7 linked regions of the Mus musculus genome follow. The protein of the gene in region 1 purifies or fractionates together with the protein of each later gene. This does not show direct contact. Links are inferred from orthologs where the notes say so. Each region holds a gene or a part of one and is shown in the gene's direction. Other genes may lie near its edges. The genes, in order: Ppp1ca, Pfdn6, Ppp1r12a, Ylpm1, 1700037H04Rik, Ccdc85c and Wdr92.

What was found.
Region 2: the proteins of Ppp1ca (region 1) and Pfdn6 purify together in Homo sapiens (affinity purification with mass spectrometry; 3 studies listed by BioGRID and IntAct, with this or other methods). This does not show direct contact. The link is inferred for Mus musculus from reciprocal best matches to the Homo sapiens genes PPP1CA and PFDN6.
Region 3: the proteins of Ppp1ca (region 1) and Ppp1r12a purify together in Homo sapiens (affinity purification with mass spectrometry; 3 studies listed by BioGRID and IntAct, with this or other methods). This does not show direct contact. The link is inferred for Mus musculus from reciprocal best matches to the Homo sapiens genes PPP1CA and PPP1R12A.
Region 4: the proteins of Ppp1ca (region 1) and Ylpm1 purify together in Homo sapiens (affinity purification with mass spectrometry; 3 studies listed by BioGRID and IntAct, counting the BioPlex papers as one, with this or other methods). This does not show direct contact. The link is inferred for Mus musculus from reciprocal best matches to the Homo sapiens genes PPP1CA and YLPM1.
Region 5: the proteins of Ppp1ca (region 1) and 1700037H04Rik purify together in Homo sapiens (affinity purification with mass spectrometry; 4 studies listed by BioGRID and IntAct, counting the BioPlex papers as one, with this or other methods). This does not show direct contact. The link is inferred for Mus musculus from reciprocal best matches to the Homo sapiens genes PPP1CA and ADISSP.
Region 6: the proteins of Ppp1ca (region 1) and Ccdc85c purify together in Homo sapiens (affinity purification with mass spectrometry; 4 studies listed by BioGRID and IntAct, counting the BioPlex papers as one, with this or other methods). This does not show direct contact. The link is inferred for Mus musculus from reciprocal best matches to the Homo sapiens genes PPP1CA and CCDC85C.
Region 7: the proteins of Ppp1ca (region 1) and Wdr92 purify together in Homo sapiens (affinity purification with mass spectrometry; 6 studies listed by BioGRID and IntAct, counting the BioPlex papers as one, with this or other methods). This does not show direct contact. The link is inferred for Mus musculus from reciprocal best matches to the Homo sapiens genes PPP1CA and DNAAF10.

The regions. Positions count from the first base shown.
Region 1 is NC_000085.6:4,191,013-4,194,973, forward strand, and holds the start of Ppp1ca (serine/threonine-protein phosphatase PP1-alpha catalytic subunit), read left to right. Parts: upstream 1-1,161; 5' UTR 1,162-1,204; coding exon 1,205-1,259; intron 1,260-1,732; coding exon 1,733-1,864; intron 1,865-2,009; coding exon 2,010-2,240; intron 2,241-2,754; coding exon 2,755-2,859; intron 2,860-3,454; coding exon 3,455-3,678; intron 3,679-3,759; coding exon 3,760-3,894; intron 3,895-3,961. UniProt on the Homo sapiens protein: Protein phosphatase that associates with over 200 regulatory proteins to form highly specific holoenzymes which dephosphorylate hundreds of biological targets.
Region 2 is NC_000083.6:33,938,409-33,941,692, reverse strand, and holds Pfdn6 (prefoldin subunit 6), read left to right. Parts: upstream 1-1,349; 5' UTR 1,350-1,605; coding exon 1,606-1,669; intron 1,670-1,874; coding exon 1,875-1,945; intron 1,946-2,029; coding exon 2,030-2,154; intron 2,155-2,581; coding exon 2,582-2,705; 3' UTR 2,706-2,784; downstream 2,785-3,284. Other genes in the region: Wdr46 (WD repeat-containing protein 46), read right to left, coding at 1-60, 175-287, 421-501, 602-808, 934-1,044. UniProt on the Homo sapiens protein: Binds specifically to cytosolic chaperonin (c-CPN) and transfers target proteins to it. Binds to nascent polypeptide chain and promotes folding in an environment in which there are many competing pathways for nonnative proteins.
Region 3 is NC_000076.6:108,252,598-108,256,097, forward strand, and holds part of Ppp1r12a (protein phosphatase 1 regulatory subunit 12A), read left to right. Parts: intron 1-159; coding exon 160-327; intron 328-727; coding exon 728-898; intron 899-3,500. UniProt on the Homo sapiens protein: Key regulator of protein phosphatase 1C (PPP1C). Mediates binding to myosin. As part of the PPP1C complex, involved in dephosphorylation of PLK1. Capable of inhibiting HIF1AN-dependent suppression of HIF1A activity.
Region 4 is NC_000078.6:85,069,321-85,072,176, forward strand, and holds part of Ylpm1 (YLP motif-containing protein 1), read left to right. Parts: intron 1-298; coding exon 299-445; 3' UTR 446-479; intron 480-784; 3' UTR 785-2,856. UniProt on the Homo sapiens protein: Plays a role in the reduction of telomerase activity during differentiation of embryonic stem cells by binding to the core promoter of TERT and controlling its down-regulation.
Region 5 is NC_000068.7:131,157,282-131,161,336, reverse strand, and holds the start of 1700037H04Rik (UPF0687 protein C20orf27 homolog), read left to right. Parts: upstream 1-1,255; 5' UTR 1,256-1,384; exon of another isoform or gene 1,385-1,832; intron 1,833-2,320; exon of another isoform or gene 2,321-2,950; intron 2,951-3,985; exon of another isoform or gene 3,986-4,040; intron 4,041-4,055. UniProt on the Homo sapiens protein: Adipocyte-secreted protein (adipokine) that acts as a key regulator for white adipose tissue (WAT) thermogenesis and glucose homeostasis at least in part through activation of protein kinase A (PKA).
Region 6 is NC_000078.6:108,272,594-108,276,893, reverse strand, and holds the start of Ccdc85c (coiled-coil domain-containing protein 85C), read left to right. Parts: upstream 1-1,500; 5' UTR 1,501-1,760; coding exon 1,761-2,556; intron 2,557-4,300. UniProt on the Homo sapiens protein: May play a role in cell-cell adhesion and epithelium development through its interaction with proteins of the beta-catenin family. May play an important role in cortical development, especially in the maintenance of radial glia.
Region 7 is NC_000077.6:17,221,893-17,225,392, forward strand, and holds part of Wdr92 (WD repeat-containing protein 92), read left to right. Parts: intron 1-304; coding exon 305-435; intron 436-2,656; coding exon 2,657-2,758; intron 2,759-3,500. UniProt on the Homo sapiens protein: Key assembly factor specifically required for the stability of axonemal dynein heavy chains in cytoplasm.

The DNA.
Region 1 (3,961 bases):
GCTCACCTCCTTGCTGCACCTCACCTCTTCTTCTCACTTCCTCCTCAGTCTCAGCTCAGCAGCTTGCTGGGGGCCCCTCCCTGGTGGGGGGACTCCCCCCTTCCTCTGTGAGGTTCTTCCTGCTTGCCCTAGTGCCAGAGCCACGACCTCCTCCCATCCAGAGGATGCTGGGTGTATTGATTCCCTGGCTGGCCCAAATTGAAGATGACAGGCCACCTTCAGTTTTACCAAGTAAAACCAATTTATGGTTCCAATAATAATTATCCTTTAATGTCATCCCACCCCTCCAACCCCCTGCCCCGGGTTTTTTGTTTTGTTTTGTTTTGAGAGTGAAGGGGTAGTGTGAGAACAGGGTCTTATGTAGCCCAGACAGGAGATGACCCTGAACTTCTGATCCTCCTGTGTCCAGACTCCTGAGTGCAGGAATTTCAGGCACTGGAATTATAGGTTTACGACACCAAGCCTACTTTAATGTTCCTTCCAGAGCCGGAGCTGGAACCTCAGGCCTTGCACATGCTAGACAAGTCCAAGTACTCTACAAAGGACTTACAACATGAACGAGATACAACGTATTACATCACTTATGGAAAAAAAATGGACGTAGCAGGCACCAAGGCAACCTGGACCAAAACACTGCTTAGAGTTCAGTAGCAGGTGTTCATGGGTCTGGCCATAAAGATGGAGGTGAATGTGAGGCTCCGGAGGTCTGGAGCCCACTCTCAGTATCATTAAGCCTTAGTTTCTTTTTCTGCACTTCGAGGAATTTATTTAGTGTTTGAGAAGTCAGCGATTAACATGCTCATACCACAGTCCCACGCAGGGCTGGGGTGGGAGAGACTTGGAAAGAGAAAAACAATTCCTACAGTACTTCCGGCCCTAACTCATCTGAACGCGGCAGGGCGATTCCTCCAGGGTGGAGCCGACCTAACCCCGCCCTACCGAACCCCGGCTCACCACCCCTGCCAGCCCCGCCCGCTCGCCCGAGGCCCTCTCGGGCTGCGGAGCTTCCCGTCCAGGGGAGGCGCTAGAGAGCGGGGAACTACGGACGCGGCAGGGCGGGGCGGGGCGGTCGACCGAAGAGGAGGGGCGGCGGGCCGGGGGCGGGCTGGGGAGGGCGGAAGGAGAGCCAGGCCGGAAGGAGGCTGTAAGAGGGCGGGAGGCAGGAGAGGGCCCGGAGCTGGTGGGCCGGAGCGGCGGCGCCGCCATGTCCGACAGCGAGAAGCTCAACCTGGACTCCATCATCGGGCGCCTGCTGGAAGGTGGGCAGGGGTAGGGAAGGTGCGCTCGCGCCGAGCCCGGGCCCCTCGCCGTCTGGAAGTGGCGCGCGGGCGGCCCGCCGCTCCCGGGGGCTAGCGTCGCTTGGGCGGGGACAGGCCGTGAGGATCCATGGCCACGGCACCCCCCCCCCCCGCGGGCGCCTGGGCTTTGGAGCGCGCTCAGAGGCCGGGGGTGCACGAGTGCCCGGGACTCAGGGTGAGGCTCCTGCGAAGCTAGCTGGGAAGGGATCCCGAAGCGAGGAAGCTTCGGCTGACAGGCTGCTGAGCACAGGCGTTTCTCTGGAGGCCCTCCGGGTGGCTAAGGGGTCGGATCTTGCCTTTGAAGGCCTGACGCAAAGGTTTCGGGGTGAGGGGGTGGGGGCTCACTTGCAACAGTTGCCCCTGTTAGGGGGGCGCGACACCTACCCTCGTCCGGTCTGCGAGGTCAGGGTCCCAAGACCCTATTCCGTACTCAGTGCAGGGCTCACGGCCTGGGAAGAACGTGCAGCTGACAGAGAACGAGATCCGTGGTCTGTGCCTCAAATCCCGGGAGATTTTCCTGAGCCAGCCCATTCTTCTGGAGCTTGAGGCGCCCCTCAAGATCTGTGGTAAATCCTTGCACAGAACCCTTTTGCTTCCTGAAAATAGCCCCTACTCGTGCCCCATTAACCGTGTTCCTCCACCCTTTAACCTATTGCTGGCCCTGGGGTCAAGTTTACATCTTGCACCTACCTAGTTTTCTCTGGTTCCCAGGTGACATCCATGGCCAGTACTATGACCTTCTACGGCTGTTTGAGTATGGTGGCTTCCCTCCAGAGAGCAACTACCTCTTCTTGGGGGATTATGTAGATCGGGGCAAGCAGTCTTTGGAGACCATCTGCCTGTTGCTGGCCTATAAGATCAGATACCCGGAGAATTTCTTTCTACTTCGTGGGAACCATGAGTGTGCCAGCATCAACCGCATTTATGGCTTCTATGATGAATGTAAGTGCTTTGAATGTTGCTGTCTGCCCAGAACTACATTCCCTGCTCTTCATGGGCCCCCTACATTGGTCTAGTGCCAAAAGACCCCCAATGATGAGCCCTGTAGGGCCCCAGCAACACGTCTGTCGTCCTTGGCGCTCAGGAGGGGCCTGGTGAATGGATGTACATGCAGGGCTGCCCATTTGCTAAAGCCACAGCCCTGCCTGATGACACCCCCTTCTAGTACATTCCTTAGTAAACATTTAGGATGCCTGTATGAATAAAACAGACCCACTCCTGGTTTGGCCTCATCCATGGGACCAGAGTGGGTACCACCATCATGGTTGGGCCAGACGAGTTCAGGTGTTGGAATTCTGGAAGGTAGATGAGGGTAGAGCAAAGAGAAGAATGTAAGCTTTCTTTGCTTTTCGGTCTTTTTTTCTCAGCTTTGTCCCTGGATGGGTGCACAGAAACCTAGACTGGGGTTGGGGGTTGGGGGTGTAGTCTTCCCTATGAGCCGCTTCCTTTTGCGCAGGCAAGAGAAGATACAACATCAAACTGTGGAAGACGTTCACTGACTGCTTCAACTGCCTGCCCATTGCAGCCATTGTGGATGAGAAGATCTTCTGCTGCCACGGGGGTGAGAGTGGTTGTGGGTCTGTGCTTGGGTTCTTGGGCCACATCCTTAGGGGCCTTGTAAAGTTAACAGAACTCTTCTCAGTTCCCTGGAATAGCGCTCCTTGAATCTCATCTTGGATATCGCTTATTAGGGGAGATTACCACACCCCCGTTTGTTTTTGAGACTGGCTTTCTGGGTAAAACCCTGACAGTCCTGGAACTCACTTTGTAGACCTGGTTGGCCTTGAACTCACTAGAGCTCCTGCCTATCTCTGACTCCCAAGTGATGGGATTAAAGGCATGCTCCACCCACCAGTTTGGTTGCACTCTTTCCTGTTGTGGCATGAGGCATCCTGTAGTCAACTCATTAATCTCCTTCTGCCCCCCCACCCCCGAGGTCTGCTATCTGTACTTCTAAGTGGTGGTGTCATATAAAGTGAGTTCCAGGACAGCCAAGGCCACAGAGAAATGGGGCCAGTGGGGAAGTAATGGATTCTGTCTCCCTGAACTTAAGGAGCCCAGATTAGCGGTGGGAACAGTGGAGCTGTCCCACCCCAGAGCTGGGCACAGGACAGCACTTGGTTTAAGGAACACTATTCCCACTCCACCACCCCCAGGCCTGTCTCCAGACTTGCAATCCATGGAGCAGATTAGGCGTATTATGCGGCCCACAGACGTGCCTGACCAGGGCCTACTGTGTGATCTCCTGTGGTCTGACCCTGACAAGGATGTTCAAGGCTGGGGCGAGAATGACCGTGGTGTCTCCTTTACCTTTGGGGCTGAGGTGGTAGCCAAGTTCCTGCACAAGCATGATTTGGACCTCATCTGCAGAGCACATCAGGTGGGCTGGTGGCCTGGGGCGGGCTGGGGGTGGGGGTGGGGTGCCTAACTTACAGACTAAACCGTTCCTGCCCTGGCCCAGGTTGTAGAAGATGGCTATGAGTTCTTTGCCAAGAGACAGTTGGTGACACTCTTCTCAGCTCCCAACTACTGTGGAGAGTTTGACAATGCTGGTGCCATGATGAGTGTGGATGAGACCCTCATGTGTTCCTTCCAGGTGGGTGTGGGGAAGAGGCTGCCCAATAGACGCCTGGCTCAACCCCAGGACCCTGATGAGTGTTTTC
Region 2 (3,284 bases), on another chromosome or scaffold:
TCCACGATGTCTGTCTGCAGGATTTTTGCCGTGTCTTCCCCATCTTCTCCTACCAGAAACCTAAAAGGCAGTTAGGATGACGACGGTGACGGTCCCCACCATGCAGCGGGCATACAAACATAAAAACGCAGAGAGACAGGACAGCGGGGAAAGCCCAGGTCGGGGTCCACTCACCCAGGTTCCTCTGCAAGCAGCAGCTCAGCGCGGGCGGCTCTGACGCTTGCCTCTTCCTCTTGCGCTTCAGCCTTCTCGAGTTTGCTTTGAGTTTTAGGCTTCGAATGTGGGAGCTACGGCATTGTTGACAGGGTTGCAAGAACCGAAGAGCATATGTGGGGGTCCCAGGAAAACCACTGGGGAAGCCGCCACCACCTCATCCAAACCCTCGGCCTCCAATCCCTCTGACAGCCCGCCGGTCCTCACCGTTTTGGACTTGTCAATTCGACAAAACTTCCGGGCCTCCTCCAGGGGGGCGGGGACGGGTCCTGGGAACGGGTCCTGAGCCTGGCGAGGACAAGGAGGCAGGAGGCAGATTCTGATGGATCCGGTTCCTCTCGATCTCCGGGGACGACCTGCACCGCCACCCTGTCAACCCCAGGCTCACCCCCGACAGCGTCCTCTGAGGCTTCTTCCAGTCTGGAGCGGTCTTTGAGATCGGGGGCTTCTTGGAGAACCGGGACTTCTGGGCGATGTGCGCGCTCTTGGACCTCGGGGGTCGCGACTCCCCAGTCCTCGCCTTCTTCCGAGGCGGCCCCGGGGAGGTGGCGACGGCGGCCGGGGTGGTCTCCTCCTCCCAGTAGCGCCGCGGTTTCTAAGGGGCAGAGGAAAAGCCTTCGCACACGCTGCCCGAGCCTGGGCCCGGGACGCGGACACCTCCCACCAAAGCTACCTTCCTCTTGGCCTGAGGCTTGTCTCTCTTGGGTGGGACACCCCTACCCGGCTTGGGGGCTGTCTCCATCTCCAAGACCGAACAACGATCCACGTGCGAAACTCCCTTGAGTAGTAGCTCGGCGGTCTAGGAAAACTTCCGGAAGTCCCCCCCTTCATCCAATCAGCGCCGTACCGGCGTCTGAAGCCTCCGGCGCCATGTTAAGTGAGGGCATGCCTCTGTGAGCCCGGGAGGATCGCCCGAGGAGCAGCTTATAACCAAATAAAGATTTAAAAAGCATGTATGAGCCCCGAATCTTGTTAACTATGAGCTTAGATTTTTCCATATTAACTTTTCTGTCTTGCCCAAAACCTCTCGAGCCGAGTCTTTTAGGTCGAACGAGCCTCACACAAGTCAGAACTACATGTTCCAGCATGTATCGGAATGTAACTTCCGGCGCCGTCTTTTTCTCTCCCGTCATGCCTTGTTTACTTCCGGGTTTATTGATTACAGCGGGTAGAGCGTGAAGAGGTTAGCGTTTGGCTTGGAGGGTTCGGGGATCTCTTCTTTCGCTCTCCTTTGCCTAGGGAGTGGCTATTCTGGACGAAAAGAGGCTGCGGCGCCTCGGAGAGTTGCGGGTAGAAAGTGCTGTCCTTCTGCAGGGTCAGGGAGGGGGGATTCAGGTGCCTCCCAGAGCTTGAGACCCAGCGACCCCCGCCCAGGAGGCTTTCTCCTTCACCATGGCTGAACTGATCCAAAAGAAGCTGCAGGGAGAGGTAGAGAAATATCAACAGCTGCAGAAGGGTAAGAGAGGGAGTTGGTGTGGTCTCGCTCCTGTCCGCTCTCATCTATGATGAAGCGTCGCGCCCCATTGGGGGCTGCGGGGGTGCATCTTGTTACCCCTCGCCTCGGTATCGTCGCTTTCTTCCTCACACCCAGTCTCCCCAGAATTGCGCGGTTCTGGGCCCATTTGATGTTTTTAATCGTGCATTTCCTCTCTCCACCCCAGACTTGAGTAAATCTATGTCAGGGAGGCAGAAGCTCGAAGCACAGCTAACGGAAAACAATATCGTGAAGGAGGTGAGGATGGGACGCGGGGGTGGGGGGCGAGGAGGGACTCTCCTGGGCACGATCATCTCATTCACTGCCTCATCCCCTTCTCAGGAGCTGGCCCTGCTGGATGGATCCAACGTGGTCTTTAAGCTTCTGGGACCCGTGCTTGTCAAACAGGAGCTGGGGGAGGCTCGGGCCACAGTAGGGAAGAGGCTAGACTACATCACAGCAGAAATGTAAGTCCTGCGGATGGCGTTTTCAGTGCACAAGTGTTAAACCCGTGCTGGATAGTTCTCCACTTACCCATTTCTGTAAAGTCCTGGCTGCCCTGGAACTCGCTCTGTAGACGGGGCTGACCTGACACAGATGCGCCTGCTGCCGCCTCCTAAAGGATGGGATTAAAGGCATGTGGCACCACTCCTGGCCTTTCTTGCTGTGTGACATCTGGTGAGGGCACTTGTCAAAGGACAACCTGCGGGAATGTTTGCCTCCCTACTGTGGGGTTCTGTAGCTTGAATTCAGGTGCCAGCCTTGGAGGACAGCAGCCCTCTCTTCCCCTTAGTGCCATCCCCGCTTTCTGTCCCACAAACCTCCAGTCTTCCACCATATCATTGAGCCCTGGCTGATATCTCCTCTCCGTTTGCCTCCCTTTGCCCTCCTCAGCAAGCGCTACGAATCACAGCTTCGGGACCTCGAGCGGCAGTCAGAGCAACAGAGGGAAACCCTTGCTCAACTGCAGCAGGAGTTTCAGCGGGCCCAAGCTGCAAAGGCTCCTGGGAAAGCCTGACCCCGTGGGAGGGGGTCAGGAGGGAGGGATGAGGCTAACCCTGAGCCAATAAAATGTAAACAGAACCAAGCCTACTTTACAGCCAGTCTTTCTTCACTGTACTTCCATTCCCGTACACTTTTACACCTCTTGAGATTCACGGTCTTGTGACTGAAATCTCTCAGTGGCCGGATTCTGTTTTGCTTTCCTGTGGCTGAGAACTGTGCCCAGGGTGTTTCCTTGGGTCCCTTCAGTTTCAAAACTTTAGTCTGAAACGTCTCAAGCTATTTCTTGCCTGTACATACAACCCTTTGACTTCCCTACGTTGGTTGGCGTAACCGGGAGACACGGGAGAAGACACTGTCTACAGTGCAGCATGTTGTTCGTTGCCATAGAACTCAGTTCTCTGGCCTGAGAGCCCAGGAAATGACAGTCACTCACGGTGAGCACTTGTCTCCCCAAGCAGCCCTAGCCCTAGACTGTTACCTGATTTCCCCGTCTATCTTCTCAGGGTTGGTTTGAATGTAACTTTTTTTGGTTTTGGAGACAGGGTTTCCCTGTGTAGTCCTGGAACTCACTCTGTAGTGAGGCTGGCCTCGA
Region 3 (3,500 bases), on another chromosome or scaffold:
TACTCTAGCAATTGTAGGTCCAACTCTTGGTGCTGGAGCTGGTGGTCTGATGAGGAGCACAGTTTGTTTTCTACTGTGTGCAGTTGTGTGATATCTGAGATAGTGAATGTAGCGTCCACATACAGACACATCCTACATAGAAATGCCTCTTTCCTTTAGTTGCTCCTTTGGTAGAAGACAAGATGATTTGATTAGTTGTAGTGTTCCAAGCACCACATCAACACCAACAGTTACCTCTGCAGCGGGGCTTCAGAGAAGCCTCCCTTCCAGCACAAGCACTGCTGCAAAGACTCCCCCGGGTTCCTCCTCCGCAGGCACACAGAGCAGGTGAGTCACAGAGACGGTCTGTGTCCAGGTCTACTGTGTGCTTATGTGCGTGCATGCATCGTTGTGTAGACAAATGTGGGCTCTGGATTTTTTTATTTACCATGTCAAAATTGTTTTTAAGCAAAAATTGGTTCCAAAAAAAACCAAAAAAACAACAACAAAAAAAAAACAAAAAACAAGCAATTATGCATGTCTGGGGAAAAAATATTAAGGTCTTAAATCATATTGCTTAAAATAAAAATTTATTTCTTTGGCAGCTCTGCGTGAGCTGTTTGATTACTAATCTTGTGTTTTTAAAAAATCCATCCCTGTGGTCACCTGTTTTCAGCTTCTAGAAATGGCTTTCGTTGTTTAGCTGTTTTCCTTTTCTCTTTTTGTGTTGCTGCTTATGATGCTATAGTACCTCAAATCGTTTGTGGGCTGAGGATAGTACTGAGAAAGAAAAGGACAGTGCTCCTACTGCAGTGACCATTCCTGTGGCTCCAACTGTTGTAAATGCTGCAGCTCCTTCCACCACCACCCTGACTACAACTACTGCTGGCACTGTTTCCGAGGTCAGGGAGAGACGCAGGTGTGTACAGGTCCTCTCAGTACTAGTTTCTGCTGATATGCTTGGCCAGTTTCTGGTATTTTGTGTTCTTTGCTTGTTTGTTTTGTTATTCTTGGAAATGTGATATGTATTAGTAACTACTTTTCTGTTTCTGTGCTAAAATACCATGACCAAGGCATTTTATAGAAGAAGGGGGTGGGCCAGAGAGATGGATGGCTCAGCAGTTAAGATGCCCTTCCAGAGGTCCTGAATTCAATTCCCAGCAACCACATGGTGGCTCACAACCATCTATACAGTGTGCTCACATACAAAAAAAAATAATAATTCTTTTTTAAAAAAAGATTAAGGGGATTTTGCTTATAGGTTCATAGCGTTAGAGTCCATAAATGTCTGGGTAAAGGCGGCAGGCAGCTGTGGCTAGAGAGTGATTCTGAGAGCTCCTTACATCTTGAACTGCAGCATAAGAAGGAGGAAGAGCTGGGAATGGTAGGGTCTTTAATATCTCAGAGCCCATCACCAGTGGCATACTTCCTCCAAGAAGGGCAGACTTGCAAAGCCCCCTCACGCAGCTCTCCCAACTGGGAACGGAGTGTTAAAATATGTGATCCTAAGAGGCATTCTCATTCAAACCACCACAATGACCAATCATCTTAATAGGCTAATAAATGAAATGTCATGTATTGACTCCAGCCTAGGGAAATGGGCACAGCTAGCAGTTATTAGCAGTTAGGCGTTTTAGTCATCTCTGAAAGAATTGATGTCTGGGTCAATAAAGGCAAAGCCAGACAACTGTCTTCCTAGATGTTAATTATCTTAGTGTTGTGTGTGTGTGTGTGTGTGTGTGTGTGTGTGTGTGTGTGTGTGTGTGCGTGTGTGTGCGCGTGCGCATTCGAGAGCACATGTGTTGTGAAGACTTGGGAGAAAATATATTACAACATACCAAGATTAATTGTTCTTGTTACAAAGGAAATAGATGTATTTTAAACAGTTTTGTGTTTAATTTTCATTGTAAGATTATATAAGGTTAGCCGTGTAGCTTAGTGGTAAAGCCATTGCTTCAGGTATCAGTCCCAGGTTCACTCTTTTTGTCTTCCCCTTTCTTCCCAGTTCTTTCCCCCTCCAGCTCCTTACCTCCTCCCTCCTCGTCCTTCCTTTTGCTTCCTTCCTCTTTTTCTTCACTGGGGGTCAAACAAGGGGCTTCTGTCTACCATTGAGTTACACTGGAGACACTTATCTTTTTTTTGTTTGTTTTTTTTGTTTGTTTGTTTGTTTTTGGTTTTTTGTTTTTTTTCGAGACAGGGTTTCTCTGTTTAGCCCTGGCTGTCGTGGAACTCACTTTGTAGACCAGGCTGGCCTCGAACTCAGAAATCCGCCTGCCTCTGCCTCCCAAGTGCTGGGATTAAAGGCGTGCGCCACCACTCCCCAACCCCCCCAACCCCCCGGCCCGAGACACTTGTATCTTAATTACTTATAAATCAGCAGTTGGAAAGAAAGGTCCAGACTCCGTTTTATCTCTTAAGATTCCATGCTTTTAATTTAAACAAAAGTCTCAGTGACAGCATGCAATGAATATCCCCTCAGAATCAGCAATTATTTTAGAATCAAATATGATTCTCTCCTCCCGTCTTTCCTCCCCCGTCAGAGCTAGGCTCAAAACCAGTGCCTTGTGTATTCCGTGACAGCTGTAGTACTCAGGTTTATTGATTGCATTTAAGAAGAGAATTGAGGAGGGTATGGCTTTTAAAAATTAGTCTTAATTTTAGTGGAGGATATTAAAGATTAAAAAAATAATCTTTGGGCTAGAGAGATGGCTCAGTCGTTAAGAGCACCGACTGCTCTTCAGAAGATCCTGAGTTCAAATCCCAGCAACCACATGGTGGCTCACAACCAACCATAAAAAGATCTGACTCCCTCTTCTGGGGTGTCTGAAGACAACTACAGTGTACATACATATAATAAATAAATAAATCCTTAAAAATGAATAAGTAAATAAATAAATAATCTTTATTACATTCACCAAAGATTATTTTAGTGGCATAAGAAACAAAATGTTTATCTTTTTTTCTGTTAAAACTGAAAACAGTCTGTATTGCTTAAACACTATCACAGTTCTGCCTTTTTTTTTTTTTTTTTTTTTGGTTTTTTGAGACAGGGTTTCTCTGTGTAGCCCTGGCTGTCCTGGAACTCACTTTGTAGACCAGGCTGGCCTCGAACTCAGTACTGCCTTCAAAAAAAGCTTTAAAAGAGTCATCTCCGTGTACCAGCATCGTTACTAGGGTGGAATCCTAGTTATGGTTAAAGACATGGAAGTAAAGCCAGGTTCCTTCATAGAGAATTTACAGAGCCTACTACACTCTGGCTTTCTAGGTTTTTTCATTTGGTTTTCAGACCCTTCATCTAGTTCCCACGTTTTCTGCTGCCTGGCAGTCCTGTCTGCCTTCGGGCCTCATCCAATCTCTTCCTAGATTTCTTATCTGTCTCTGGGTGTTGGCAGTAGTTGCCCCTTGGCTGTCACCATCTGTATGGTGACAGATAAAGACCCACCGACATCATCTGCGTCAATGGGAGAGGTCTGGAGAGGTGCACAGATGATTAACACCATGTTGACCACTGGCTTAAGTCC
Region 4 (2,856 bases), on another chromosome or scaffold:
TTTAGCTCACATAGAATGCCTTTGGCGCTGGCCAGAGATGACGTGGAGCCGATAGGATGTGTCAAGAGACCTTTAGTGGTAGGGCTCTGTCTTATAATTATGGGAACGTTTTGAAACAGGTAAGAGTCACAACTGTGTATTTTAAGGTCACTTTGGCGGAGAATGAAAACAGTTTTTTTGACTTCTTGTAATTTTAAGTCAGTTAATCTACCCAAATAATAATAACATATTATCCAAAGAGGTTGCCTTTGGGGTTCCCTCCCTCAAACAGCCCAGTCTAATGCTTTTTTCTCTTTAGGTGAGATGGGCAGACCTAGAAGAAAAGAAGGATGCAGATAGGAAAAGGGCCATAGGTTTTGTGGTCGGACAGACTGATTGGGAGAAGATCACAGATGAGAGTGGTCACCTGGCTGAAAGAGCCCTCAATCGGACCAAATATATATGAGACTTAGTTTTGAATGGAGTCATGTTCCTCTAAGGTAAGGGCACCCAGGCATAGAAATCGCCTGTCATGTGGTTGCTTCCAAGGTACTGAGGACAGCATACTTTACTAAAAATGATTTTTCTAGCTCTGAACAAGTAAGTATGTGCTAGTACAATAACATTTGCAATACAGAAAAGAAAGCAGCTATTTGTAACCCAGCTCACTTGTAAAAGACTTAAGAGAGCTTGGGTTCTGTGTCCCTAGGGAAGATGGAGTCATGCTATGACAGATGCTGAGGTCTGCTAAGTCGTCTGTGTTCCTTTCCTTTCCTGGAGTGACCCCGTTTTCTTCTCTTTCCAGGTGGTTCGATGTGAGGCGACCTGAAGCTCAGCCCTCGGGAAGCTTCTTGTGTCTGGAAGCTTCTTGTGTCTCCACGTTTCAATTTTGTTTTGTTTTACCACTTTCATTTTTAAACGTTTTCCAGTATCCCCCCCAAAATTTTAGAATCTTGCTATATCCAAGCAAGACATTATTAATATTTTTTTTAAACTAATTTGGGGAGGGAGGGTTAGCTTAAGTGCTAAGTCAGGTGTGGATCCACAGGAGGGTTCCAACAGAGTGTTTCCTCCACTGTATACTGTCACAGACTATCATCATTGCTTTGTGGCTGGTTTTGTTTTTTTACTGTATGTAACAAGTAGCTGATTGTACTTGGATAAAAAACAATAAACTTTCACTATAAAGCCAATGAGATTCATAGGCTGTACAGTATGGGCCCTTTTCTCTTATTTTCTTACATTTATTTTTATTGTTAATTAAATGCAGTATGTCCTGCTTGCTGACCACCCCCAAACCACCTCTTTACTATTGAATATTAGCACAGCTGTTTGGTAGCACATTGTAAAACTCCATGATTGCAAAGTGTCCAGTGATGACCAAAACATTCAACTTTATAGATGGAGTTCTCTTTCTTTGTGTCTTAAAGACTAACAGAATCAAGTCTAAATATCCATCAATTTTCTGAGACATCTCTCTCTCTCTCTCTCTCCCTCTCTCTCTCTCTCTCTCTCCCTCCCTCCCTCCCCCCTCAGGAGGGGGAAATACGGTGTTACCTCTTTATTCTTCCTTTCTCTTTGTGCTACCTTGTTTGATTTCCTCCCTCTCCCCCCCCCCCCTTTAGCTGGTTTTAAATACAGGTGAACAGAAATGATACATTCCATAGAACTCAAGTTGTTGCCTTGTTTTGAACTTGAATCGTTGCTTTCTAAGACAGGATCATGGTAAAGGAGTATGAAAAGTCTCCAGCCCTCTGGCAAGCAGTCTTTGAGCCTGGCCAGCTTTTCAGGCTCTTGCCAGATTGCTCATTATTGTAAAACTTGGCCTTCAGCATAGAATTTCATCTCCTGTGGATAATCCCACTCAGAACCCAGAAGCAGAGCTTACATCCAGATAACATTCTTCCTTAAGTATAGAAAGGAGGTGCTTGCTTTTTATCAGTCTTCACAGATAGAGATGAACTTTCTTCCTCAAACACTATTTCTTGGTGGCAAGCCAGCTCAACAACTTGGGAACATGTTAACAGATGACCTCAGCATTATGTCATGGTTGGAAATCTTTAGTTTTTCAATCTACATTAAATACTGTGCTTGGAGCTAATATTTCTTAGCAGTTCAGGAGTGTTACTTTGGGTTCAGTAATGACCTTCTCAGACTGAAGGCACTAATCGTAACATCTTCCTGTACTTTTCCCTCAAATTCTGAATGTTTATGCCTAAAAGACTAGGTTCATTAACAAGTTAATATTGAATGTATAATTTGCTTAATTTAATGATTTGCACTGTTTGTAATGTTTAATAATCTATTTTGGTGGCTAAGGACTGTAATCTATTTCTGCATATGGATCCATCTTAGCTACCTTTATTATACTGGAAAATGTTACATGGTAAGATAGCCAAATAGAGCTATTGTTTGTACAAAGACTCATTTAACACTTATCTTTTCTTACTAAAGTAAGACTTGTAAAGTTATTTTCCTGCTTGAGAAGAAAAGAAGGCCTCTTTGTTCCTCACCTTTAACCTTTGTGTAGCATTTGAAACACCCGAGAGATGAGTGTTGGTTACCCACGAATCATGGGTCTCAGCATCGTCAGCCATGGCCTGTGGCAGTTTTCAGAAAGTAGTTAGAGGAGCCACAGTCAAGAGCTGCCTGCTTTCAGAAGTGGGTTCATCTACAGAGAGTCAGAAAAAAGAACCAGAAAGCAGTAAGGAAGATAACCAATTAATACTTGATTCTACAAGGCCAGTAGGAAACTCTTAAGAAATCCTAATTTTTATTATCACCTAAACCAACAGAATAGAAGGTCAAGTGGTATCTTGGGGAGTTTTGGGTTGGGTAAACATTTTGTAGTGAGTCAACTCTTCTTAGTTACAGTAC
Region 5 (4,055 bases), on another chromosome or scaffold:
CCTTGGTTCTTGTTTTGAATGTAAATGTGAGAATGTGTTGTTAGATCTGATATTTCAAAAGAAGACTGGAAATGAGAATCCTTTGTGAAGAAGTAGGATGAGGGGCAAGAAGATGGGAAGAAAAGTATTTATAAAAGTCTCCGGGGGCTATACATCTGCAGGCTGCTTTTGCCTGGCGTGGTGGCCTTCAGGATACTTTGGAGGCACTGTCTGCTGACTTGGAAAAGAACAGATATGGAACACACCACGGGGCTTCTGGAAAGGTGGGAGTAGGGGTTGAGTAGGCTGGGATTAGAATGAAAAGTTCTCAATGTCCGCTCTGGAGGACAGAATTTTCTCAACAGTAGGGAGCGCACGTACCATCCAAAACAACGATAAAAAGTTTGAGAAGCCCTGCTGAAGACAGCAGGGAAGCACTGGGCCCTCTGAAGTAACGCTATGAAAACAATAGCACAGAAAGACTATTTGTTACCAGCGTGCGAACACAAGATCCGAGTCAGGTTAACAGCCATAAGGACACGGAAGAGTCGGACCTTGAGGACTCTTACAGGCAGCGACCACATTCTATCGGAAAAACAAGCAAGCTCTCAGCGGTCCAAGGCCTGTCTCCGCTAGTTAAGTTGGAAGGATCGGGAACCTGTGTGTTCTGACTGCTCTTTCGGCACTTTAAACCTCTTGTCCTAATCAGTGTATATAAGGATAGAGATAGTCGCACACGGACAGGTGGGCCTGTGGCAAAAATCCACAAGCCTTAGTAAGTGCTCTACGAAGACGCCCACACCCTGTCGGGTGGGTCGAGACGCATCCCGCTGCCATGGCGACCGCCTCCTTGGAGACCAGGAGCAGAAGCTCCTGTCCCCGGGGGCGCCCGCGTACGCTCCCTTCCCCCCTTCCTACGCCGCGTGCCTTCTTTGTTCTAATGCTTATTTGGAATAGGGAATGGGTGGGAAAGGAAGACCGAAATCCAGACTCAGTCCAGTAGGAAAGGTGACTGCTTAACTCCTAGACAAAACTGCCGCGGATCGGAAACCTCATGGGGAAGGTCGCTCTGGTCGGTTTCCAGCAGCGGTTCCAACATAGCTCCCATCCCGCTTCATCACCCAAGCTCGTGCCGCTGGGGTGACGTCGACTCGTGGGGCTCAGCCTCCGCGCACACGTGATGTGGAATCTCGTCGTTAATTGGTGGATCTCAGAGACAGCTCATTGGTCTGAAGTGCCCTAGCCCCGCCCCTCAACGCCCCTCAAGCCAATGAAGGAGGAGAGGGCGTGGCGCGAGGCTGATGCGGCGCGGGGCTCTTCCTCGCGCTCTCCAGCCCGTTCTGCTGCTGCTACCGCCGCCTCCGCGGTCGTTTCTGACCGCCTGGCCGCGGGGCTCGCCTGCAAGGTGAGATGGGCCCTCCGGGCTCCGTCTAGTTCACCAGAGACGGCTCCTGGGTCTGAGATCCTCAGCTGTGCTGGAGCTGGAGGCTTTGCTTTCTAGCCTGAGGAACTCTGTAGAAGCGGGATGGGGTGGGGGATGTGGGGTCCTGGGTACAAATGACGGTTAGCGGGCAGGGTACAAGTGACACCTGAGGGTGGGGGCGTAAATGTGGCTGACGTCCCGTTCCTACCTGGTCCTCGTGGCTCTATGTGACCTTGGAAGAGTAGCCTCTGAGCCTCCGGTGCCCGGGCACGATCATGAGGAGGATGTTGATGTTGGGAGTGTCGGCTCCAGAGACTCCTGCGTCAGCCTGGCGAGCTCAGAGAGCGCAGGGCATTATCTCAGATGGACAGATCCGCGGCCTTGCTCTTGGTGTGGGTACGTCTGAGGCCCGTTCTGCTGCTCTTGTCCCCTGAGAAAACAATAACACTGAGGTGGGGCGTGCCACACCCACAGGGATGGCGGTAGGAAAGGCCAGAGGGCCAGAGCCAGAGCCTCTCCAGTGTCTCACAGAAATGGTTGGATTTAGGTTCTGGACCAGTGCTCCTGTTAGTGAACAGGGCTCGGTTGGACAGCTTGAGTCTTTCCTCTTTAATCTTGGTGGTGGGATGTGAAGGTAGGGCATTGCTTTGCACTGGGGTGGGGTGGGGTGGGCTGGGTGGGTGGTGGGTGGGTGGGTGGGGGGTAGGAGCAGCTTTCACCCGTGTCTCTGCTTCTTGGGTGAAAGAGTCAATCTAGAGGCCAGATGAATCCAAGCAGCCTCCTTTGATGTCAGAGGGGGATGTGGGAAGTGAATGCTAGGCAGAGGAGAACCACACAGGTTGGTAGACAGGAGGGACTAACACCCTTTTCACAGGTCAACCCTTCCCTCCACTGTTTGTGAGAGTAAACACCTATTACCGTCCTTGCATCCCTGGCTTTGGGGAAGGGGGCTCCAAAGATAGGTCAAGGCTGAGGAGATGAAAGATTGCTTCCACATGCGACCTCCATGTAGCACTCCCTGTCTGAGACTTCAGTGGGTGTTCTTTGAGCTTTAAGGGGAGGTTGGATAAGTGCTTCTGCTGGGCTGATGATTGAGCTGTGACTGGGTCCCTGGATGGGTGTAGGGGAGGTGGTAGGAAGAATTGAAGGTTGTTTACTGCTCTGACATAGAAAGGGCTTTTATGGGGTTGGGAATGGTGGTTGAAGAATGATTCAGAGAGGAGACGGTAAAAGGTTTGGGGCTGTGCTCCCAGCCACACAGCACAACGCAAGCTGAAATTGGCTCTGTGATACCTTGGGGCTTAAAGGCTGCCTCTGGGAAGAGGTAGGTAATCAGAAGGGAGAGAGAGTGTCACAATGCAAGAGTTCCGTTTTGCCATGGGTAGATCACCTTTGCCTCTTAGCTTGGAGCTTGAGTGCTAGAACAGGGCAGCCTGGACTGGACAATGAAAAAGGCCTTATGACACCGAAGACCCTGGATTTTTCCATAACCACCACCTGTTTACCCACATGCTAGCTCTTTGGGAAGGTAGCTTCAGAGCTTTCCCCGCCCACATTTTAGTCACTCCAATTTCCCTAAGAGCATCTGAAATACCAAGAAGCCCTCAGTGTGCCCCCGCCTGAAGCTGTCCAGGATCTCACCTGACTTATGTATATTTGTTTTTTACTTACTAATTATTTGGAGATATTGTCTCAGGTGGCCCAGACTGTCCTTACAATCACTCTGTAGCCAAGGATGACTTGAACTCTGATCCTCCGGCTTCTACTAACCAAGTCTGCCTGCTGCCATACCCAGTTTTCTCTCCTCTCACTCCTGATTTGTCGACAGCCATCTAAGGGCAGGGGCATCATCTTCTTTGCCAGATGAGGGGCCTAAAGTAGAAAAGGCACCACAGCAGCCTCCTCCATAGTCTTCCCAGAGCCTGGTGCCCTGGAGTGAGGAAAGGAAGAAGGGCAGGGGAGGGGCCTCCTTCATCTCTTAGCTAGTTTCTGAGAAGCTGAACTCTCCGAGGACTCCTCCAAGAGTGACCAGAAGTGCCTTTCTTCCGGTGAAATTGCCTTTGCTCTAGGAACCAAGTCCCCAGAGCTCTGTTTTTGTGGTGGTTAAGGGTTGAGGAGGGAGAGTAGAGGGTGCTGGCATTTTCACAGAGTCCTAGGCACAGCCACACAGGCCCAGAGAAGAGCAGGCAGGCCACTGCTTACTCTATTGGAGAAGTGAAATGGCTTGTCCTCACAGCCAATGGGGCATGTGTGTGTGGGGGGGTCTAGTCTGAATTTGATTGGCTACTGTCCCCCCATCCCCAGGGTGGGGAGGGGTCTGTGTGGTTTAGGTGACAGTGGGAACTTGGCTAGCACAGGTGCAGGCTGGAGGCATGGCCAGGCTAGAAGTTGTGAGGTGGCCTAGCAGGTCCCTGTGGACAGGACTACAGCGGGAGAGGCCCAGTGGCCTCTTTTCCTGCTTCTAATGAGGAATTTGTATGGATGAGTGTAGCTCCCATGGGGCGGCCACTAGCAGGTTGTCTGGTGTGAAAGGAGGTTTGGTTTTTTCAGGCTCTCATGGGTCCCTGCTGTTACTTGCCTTACCATTCTTAGGGTTACAGGCGGTTCCTGCACGATGGCTCGCCTTCAGAGTCTGGCCTCTGCAGGAAATGGA
Region 6 (4,300 bases), on another chromosome or scaffold:
TGCTGTTCCTTTCACCTGTCCGGCCTCCAGGCTTACCTTTGTCCTTGTCACTCAGGTTTAGGTCCTAGCTCCTAGGTCCCTCCCAGAACACAGATCTAAGGCAATTGAATTCCCCGCATAGCGCTGCAGACAGCCTCACCGATTCTTCTCACGTTGTACTCTCTCCCTCCTCCCAAGAATGCCAAGTGCCCTCAGAGAGCAGTGGCCTCTTGTCCCGGTAGAATTCCCCCGGGATGGGGAAGGTGTAAGAGGGCACATGAGGTGGTTTAGTAAACGGCTGAGTAACTGTAAAAGGGGGATGTCAGCTGCTGCGCGGGCACGCGCTCCAGGCCCGGGTAGCTTACCCCGGTTTGTGCGCGCGCAGAGTGGGTTATCTCCTTGTAGGTCCAGGGGAAACGCATCCTTCCCTCGGCCCGCTGGCTGCAGAAGCGCTGTTAAATGCGCTTAGGGGACGGGATTTATAGGTGTGGGAAGATCCGTATGCTCCGCAGCGATGCGGGGCGAGGGAAGAAGGTTCTGCGGTCGCTGAGTACCTATGGACCCCAGCTATCTGGCCAGGGTGGAAGACCTTCCCTCGCCTTTCTCAGGGGTTTCCACCTAGCGAACTGCATGTTCTTCCAATCCCAGGGATTTAGCGGTGTAGTGCGCGGAAGGGAAGGGCTCGGAGAACTGCTCTGGGAAAAGGGCAGGTCCTCGGCTCCCACCACGTCAGGGGAAGAAGGGAGAGAGATCTGGCCCTGAGATAAGGCTGGCAAGGCTCCACGGTCTTGGGCTAGGGGTGGGAAGACAGCCCCGCTGCAATATTAGGCAGGGACCCAGGTGGCTCTGGTCGGTGGCCCGGAAAGGGACAAAGACCAGCCCTGCCCGACCCCCCATGTCAGGGTCCTATTGTTCCTCCTCTCTCGGACTGTACCGAACTCTGGTGCCCCCGAGAGGGAGGGAGGGAGGGAGAGAGCTGTGCTCGCCGGGTGGGCATCTGTTTATTAAGGGTGAGAAAGGGAGGGTCAGGGACGCTGGCCGGATAAGGGACGCGTAAATTCGCGCGTCGCCTTTAAGGGAAGCCCTGCCCTACCTTTCCCACCGGTCCCCGCCACCCCCTAGCCCTACCTGCATTTTAAAACCCCTTGTAGTCCTGGGATTGGCCCAGGCCGCGTCCTCCGGGCGAAGAAACTTGAACCGGGAGTGTGGGGGGGAGGAGGGTGCAAGGCCCCGCGGTTGGAAGATACCATCTTTTCAGCCTCCCCGCGCGCGCCCCGCCCCTCCCGCACACCCCCGAACCTGGCCAATCAGACCTGTGGGAGGGCGGGACCGTGGCTCGAGCGCGCCTCTGGCAGGGCGCCCGGCGGGCCGGCGCACCGCGTAGGGGGACCTCGGGGGCCTGCCACTCCTCTGACCGCCTCCCTTTCGGAGGCGTGGCCCAACGGCGGCGCCCCGCCCCCTCTCCGCCCGGGGTGGGCGGGGCAGCTGGGGCTCCGGGAGCGGGGCCGGGGGCGGGCCTCCGCCTGCTGCGCCCGAGCTCGGAGAGCCGGGGCACCGCGGCCGCCGACGCAGCCACGGTCCCGGTTCCTCAGTCCTGAGGCGTGCGCGGGCTCTCGGGTGACCCCAGAGGGGGCCGCGGGAGGGAGCGCGAGGCGGCGAAGGGCGGGCCGCACGCGTCCCCAGCCGCCCCCCGCGCGCGCGTGGCCGAGCCCAGAGAAGCCCCGGCGCGGGGAGCGCCGGCCCGGCGCGGGCGAGGGCGATGCCGCGGTGACGGCCCCGCCATGGCGAAGCCCCCGGCGGTGGCGGCGGCGGCTGCAGCGGCGGCGTCGGAGGAGCTGAGCCAGGTCCCGGACGAGGAACTGCTGCGCTGGAGCAAGGAGGAGCTGGCGCGGCGGCTGCGGCGCGCCGAGGGCGAGAAGGTGGGCCTCATGCTGGAGCACGGCGGCCTGATGCGCGACGTGAACCGGCGGCTGCAGCAGCACCTGCTGGAGATCCGCGGCCTCAAGGACGTGAACCAGCGGCTGCAGGACGACAATCAGGAGCTGCGTGAGCTCTGCTGTTTCCTGGACGACGACCGGCAGAAAGGGCGCAAGCTGGCGCGCGAGTGGCAGCGCTTCGGACGCCACGCGGCCGGCGCCGTGTGGCACGAGGTGGCCCGCTCGCAGCAGAAGCTACGGGAGCTCGAGGCGCGCCAGGAGGCCCTGCTGCGCGAGAACCTGGAGCTGAAAGAGCTGGTGCTGTTGCTGGACGAGGAGCGCGCGGCGCTGGCGGCGGCGGGGGGCGCTGGCGGCGGCGGCGGCGGCGCGGGCTCCCGCAGCTCCATCGACAGCCAGGCCAGCCTGAGCGGGCCCCTGGCGGGGAGCGCAGCGGGCTCGGGGGCCCGCGACGTTGGCGACGGCAGCAGCACGTCCAGTGCGGGCAGCGGCGGCAGCCCGGACCACCACCACCACGTCCCAGCGGCTCTGCTGCCCCCGGGGCCGCACAAGGTTCCGGACGGCAAGGCCGGAGCCACGCGCCGGTCTCTGGATGACCTGTCAGCGCCGCCGCACCACCGAAGCATCCCTAACGGCCTGCACGGTAAGCATCTCGCCGGGATCGGAAGCCCATGGGTGTCTGTCGTGAAGCAGTAGTAGTTTCTGGAGACCTCACAGGTGCGGGGTGGGGGTGGGGTCGCACCTTCAGACCCTTCCGCAGCTGGCATAGCAAATGGAGCATTCGGCGTGGTGGTGTCCCTGTCTAGCTGATGCCGCAGAAAAAAGTTTCTCCTCCGCAGCTTTTTGTGTTACCAGCTGGCACTCTGGGGCTGTCGAGGGGTGTCTCTCATCCTACCCTGAAAACACTTGAGGGCAGAGGAGAGTTTTTCTTGGAAGACTATGAAAGGCCCCTAAGCTAAAGCAAGTGAATTTTCCCTTCTGGTTGGAGTCCCTCAAACTCACTTAGCACCCACGACTGCACTGTGCTGTGGCTGGCTTTCTCCCCTGCTTCCTTCCCAGCTGAATCTCCTCCTGGGCTGGGCTGGGCTGGCACACAATCACCCGTGCTGAGACCTTGACGAAGCTGGGCCAGAGTACCCTGGGCTAAGATAAGAGTCTTCCTGGCTTCCCATAAGTCCCGCAGTACTGGTTGGGACACCTTTCTCAGTTCGGTCTCTACAGTTTTCCCCAGAGGATATATTTGGAGTGGATTCCGACCTCTCCGTGTGCCTCAGTTTCCTTTCTTCCTTGCTTGTAAGTTGGAGAGGCTGATGGCCGCCTCACCGGGGTGTGAGGTGGAGATAGATAATGCCCCTGAAGAGATCTGTAAGCTTGATCGTCTTACAGGAAGTGCTGGGGTCATCTGTGGCCAGAGTGTGGGTTGGAAGCCGGCTCTGTCTTCCTCAACCTGTTGCTATTGACCCTACAGGAGGGTGTCCCCACCTAGGGTACTGTGGCTGTCCCTTCAGTGGCGATCTGGGCCCTGCAGCTTCCCTCCTGTCCTGACTACCATTTGCTGTGCTACTCCGTTTCCCCCACAGTTTTTTGGAGCTTGGCTCTCAGTGTTGATGGCACTTGCCTTTGCCTGAATTGTTCCCCTGGTAGCGAAGAGTAACTCGCCCTTTCTGTTCTCCTTAAAGCCTTTCTCCATCCATATACTGTCAAGGCTTAGAAGAACTTCTCTTCCCCAAACTCACTGCTGGAGCTGAGGACCAAGCTTTTTCTTGGGTTTCCTGGCCAAGCCCTCTGCAGGCATTTTGAGGCAGGAGCTGCAGTTCTCATGCAGGTCAGATAGAGGTTTCCCCTTTATTTACTCTCCAGAGCTTGTGAGTTCAGGAAAGGACTGGGGCTAAAGGGATATTTTGTTACTGATTAGCAATCTACCACAGCAACTCAGGTTTCTTTTTGTAACATTGCATCCACAGGGCCTTACCCCGACAGCTATTCACTCATGCTCTAGATGCCAAGTTCTAGTTTACTTTGGGGGAACGGACACCCCTCTTTACAGAGCTGGCATGCATCTCTTTGGCTTCACCTTCTTGGGGGGGGGGCTATTCACTCATGCTCTAGATGCCAAGTTCCAGTTTACTTTGGGGGAACGGACACCCCTCTTTACAGAGCTGGCATGCATCTCTTTGGCTTCACCTTCTTGAGGGGGGGGGCTCTGGGAGGGCCAGTGTTCAGGGTCTTGATTTCCCCAAGTGCATCATGAAGGAGGGGAATCTTTGCACTTAGGGAAACACAGGGCTGCTGGTTTTCAGCTATGTCATCAGTAACAGTGGTCAGGGTGAGTCTCCTCAGGACACTGTCTCGCTGAGTGTCTCCACCTCTTTGCAGACAGTCTTTTT
Region 7 (3,500 bases), on another chromosome or scaffold:
TTATCCATTCCTGTCTTGATGGGTCCATTTCCTGTGCTGTTGAGTCCGTTTCAGAGAATCCTTGCCTGTGCTTCTGGCATCCAGGGTATCACGTGTGTTTTCCTCTAGTGTTTTCAGAGCCTCTGTCTTAGGTTAAAGTCGTCCATTTTGCATTGTTTTTTGTTTTTATTGATTTTAGTTTAGTTGGCTTTAAGGCCATGTGATAAGTAGTTATGTATTTTAGTTTAATTGGTTTGAAGGCCATGTGATAAGCAGTTATGTATTTTAAGGCCATGTGATAAGCAGTTATGTATTTTCTGCTTAGGAACTTGGAAGCTCCAGAGATGCCAGTGTATTCTGTAAAGGGCCACAAAGAAATCATAAATACCATAGATGGTGTAGGTGGACTTGGAATTGGGGAAGGAGCCCCTGAAATCGTGACGGGCAGCCGTGATGGTGAGTCAGTCTTAAGTACTGAGCAAATGTTTAATGGAACCTCTGTGTGCTGCCATATCCTCTGCACACAGAATCCTCTGGTTGGCTTGACTCTGTATCTACCATACATCTGCATTTATTTGTGCATCTGCATTATAACAGACAAGTTTTATTGCACATCTCTCATTCAGTTCCAGCTTCTGTGTATTTGCAGGGAGAGACCCAGCACTGAATATTTCAATGTGGACTTAGTTCAACAACTAACAATGAGCTGAGTTTGAAATACTTATAAGTCTTCGAGGGTTTCTGAAGCAGCCATGGGATATGTGAGGCAGCTTCTCATCTTCTTTCTAAAATGCAGTTACTACTTAGCAGACTGTCAGGTTGACAGGTACCTGAAGACGTGTTCTGTGATGTGTCCATGAGCATCCCAGCACTGGCCTCAGGGACCAACAGACCCAGCTTGGATGACTAATGGGCCCACGTTTTGTTGTCTCATATGGAGATGCGTCAGTTGCTCTCAAAAGATTACTATAAAAGAAAAATGAGCTATCACTTTCTAATAGTTACTGGTGAGCAGAGGTGTGCTAGAATGACTTTTCATGGGAGCTCCGTGGGGCACGTGGATGGCGAGTAGTTCATCGTGCTGCCATTGCCATTGCCATTGTGCTTCTCCCCCGTACTTAGAGGTCTGCAGATGCAGATGCTTCCGTAGCTCTTTAGCTTAATGGCTGTAACATTCCATCGTGTGGCCGTAACATCATACCATGCTTCCGTAACAACCATTCCAAGGTTTCTGGGTGTTCTTAGGATAGAGGCTTGAAGTTTTAAAGAAGTGATGTATGTAAGTCCTGGGGGATATTTTATGATTTATAAAATGCTCTTGTGCCTGAGGGTGTTTGATGCCACAGTGTAGGGGAATGCCAGGGCGGTAAGACGGGAGTGGGTGGGTGGGTGGGTAAGGGAGCACCCTCACAGAGGCAGGGGGAGTGCAGATGGGATAGGGGGTTTCTGAAGGGAAGACCTGGAAAGGGAAAACATTTGAAATGTAAATAAAGAAAACATCCAATTTAAAAAGAAAAAACAAAAGAAAAAAGAATGTATTTCTAAATAACCCATAGTACCCATTTCCCTGGCCAGCTATAGTGGATGAGGGACTACAAGTGGTTGGCATTGCTTTTTCCTGTTGTGAGTTTGTAGACTAGAAGCTGCCCTCCATCTCCACTGTCCTCCTTCTCCACTGTCCTCCGTCTCCATGTGTGCTAGTGTCAGTGCCTGTGTATTGATTAGTTCTGTGTTTTGAATTGTCTTTATGTTCTTTGCCAATTCCAGTGTGGAAAACTTACAAAGCTCTTAATGACTTGTACAAACCCGTAGCTGAGATGGTGATCTCTGTCAGAACTGTGGGAGTCCCCTCCACATAGGACTGTAGCCTTTCTGGTGACAGCTCTATCCCTGGTCTCTTGCAGGGGTATTTTTTCCCTTCCCTGTTCATGTTCACATGTAGGCCATTTAGCCATCTCAGTACATGCAATCATGTTGATTGTAGGCTATGACACTAGTTACTATGTAGATTACTAACTACACTACTAGTTAGTAATCCTATAATATGAATTAATATAAGAGGGTTGAAACTTAGTTTAATCTAATTTTATTAATATTCCCTCCTCATTAACTTTTGCGGGAAAGCTAAGCTTAATTCTGTGTGAGGCAGATGGGGTTGTTTCTTCTTCTGTGTCAACAAGTGAAACTGGACCTCATGCATGCTGGTCACTCTGCCATGAACTGCCTCGCTAGCAGCTGAAATGGCCCTTTAGAACCCCATATAAAAATGTAGTGACAGCCCTTATTCTTCTGTATAAGACAAGAACCAATCAATGGTTATATGTGTAGTAAGAAAAGCAAAGTTAAAATGATACTCCCATTATTCTAAGTGTGTTTGTATGTATGTGGTACTAACCCAGACAATAGGGCCTGTTTTGAGTGTCCCTCAAAACTTACAGATAGCCTAGGAATACTTTTGGGTTTTCTCTGATTTAGGAATCATTTCTAATACTAACATGGAGTTGTGTCTGGTATCAAGTACAACTTAACCATTTTGAAGTCAGAAAAAACATGAATAGTTTACAGATGTTGTAACAATTATTGTCGCGTATATAGATAACTGTGGAAAGAGAACGCAAACAAACAGGAAGTGTGATCAGTCACTATGAATTTTGCCAATGCCTTTTATCTATGACAGGAACTGTAAAGGTGTGGGACCCAAGGCAAAAAGAGGATCCTGTCGCTAACATGGAACCTGCACAAGGAGAAAACAAGAGAGACTGTTGGACCGTGGCATTTGGTAAGTTACTGACAAGGTACTGCACTTCAGGTTCATCACGGTTCAGGAGATTATGGGCAGGCTCCGGTAGCCTGTTCTGTAGACTGTTCTGAGATTTGTCCAGTCAGGTACCATAGACTTAATATCAGCCCCGGGCTAGGATTTTATCTTCACTGTGCTATTATTGTGTGCCTTGGGGAAATTACTGTATGTACAGTGTAGCTAATAGAATTTGCTTAATAGTGTTGAGGAACCAATGAAGTAATGTCACTAAAGCTCTTAGAATGTGCATAGTGTTGAAAATATTTACTATTATTACAATAGTTTTTAGTTTAATTGATAATATTGACCTAGTTTAGTACCAAATGCCATTAATAGGGTTAAGCAAAGCCTCAAATGCAGATGATACCCTAAAAAAAAAAAATCTCAAATTACATTTTACATAGTGTTTACTTTCTAGAAAATAGTCATGCCATGCCATTGCATACTTTTTTCTTTTCTTTTCTTTTTTTTTTTTTTTTTTTTGGTTTTTCGAGACAGGGTTTCTCTGTGTAGCCTTGGCTGTCCTGGAACTCACTCTGTAGACCAGGCTGGCCTCGAACTCAGAAATCCACCTGCCTCTGCCCCCCCGAGTGCTGGGATTAAAGGCGTGCACCACCACGCCTGGCCACATAATTATTTCTTATAAGTCTGAAATTAATTAACCTTGTATTAATATACTTGTAATGTGAATTGATCTTGTCAGTGTTGCTGCTTGTCTTTG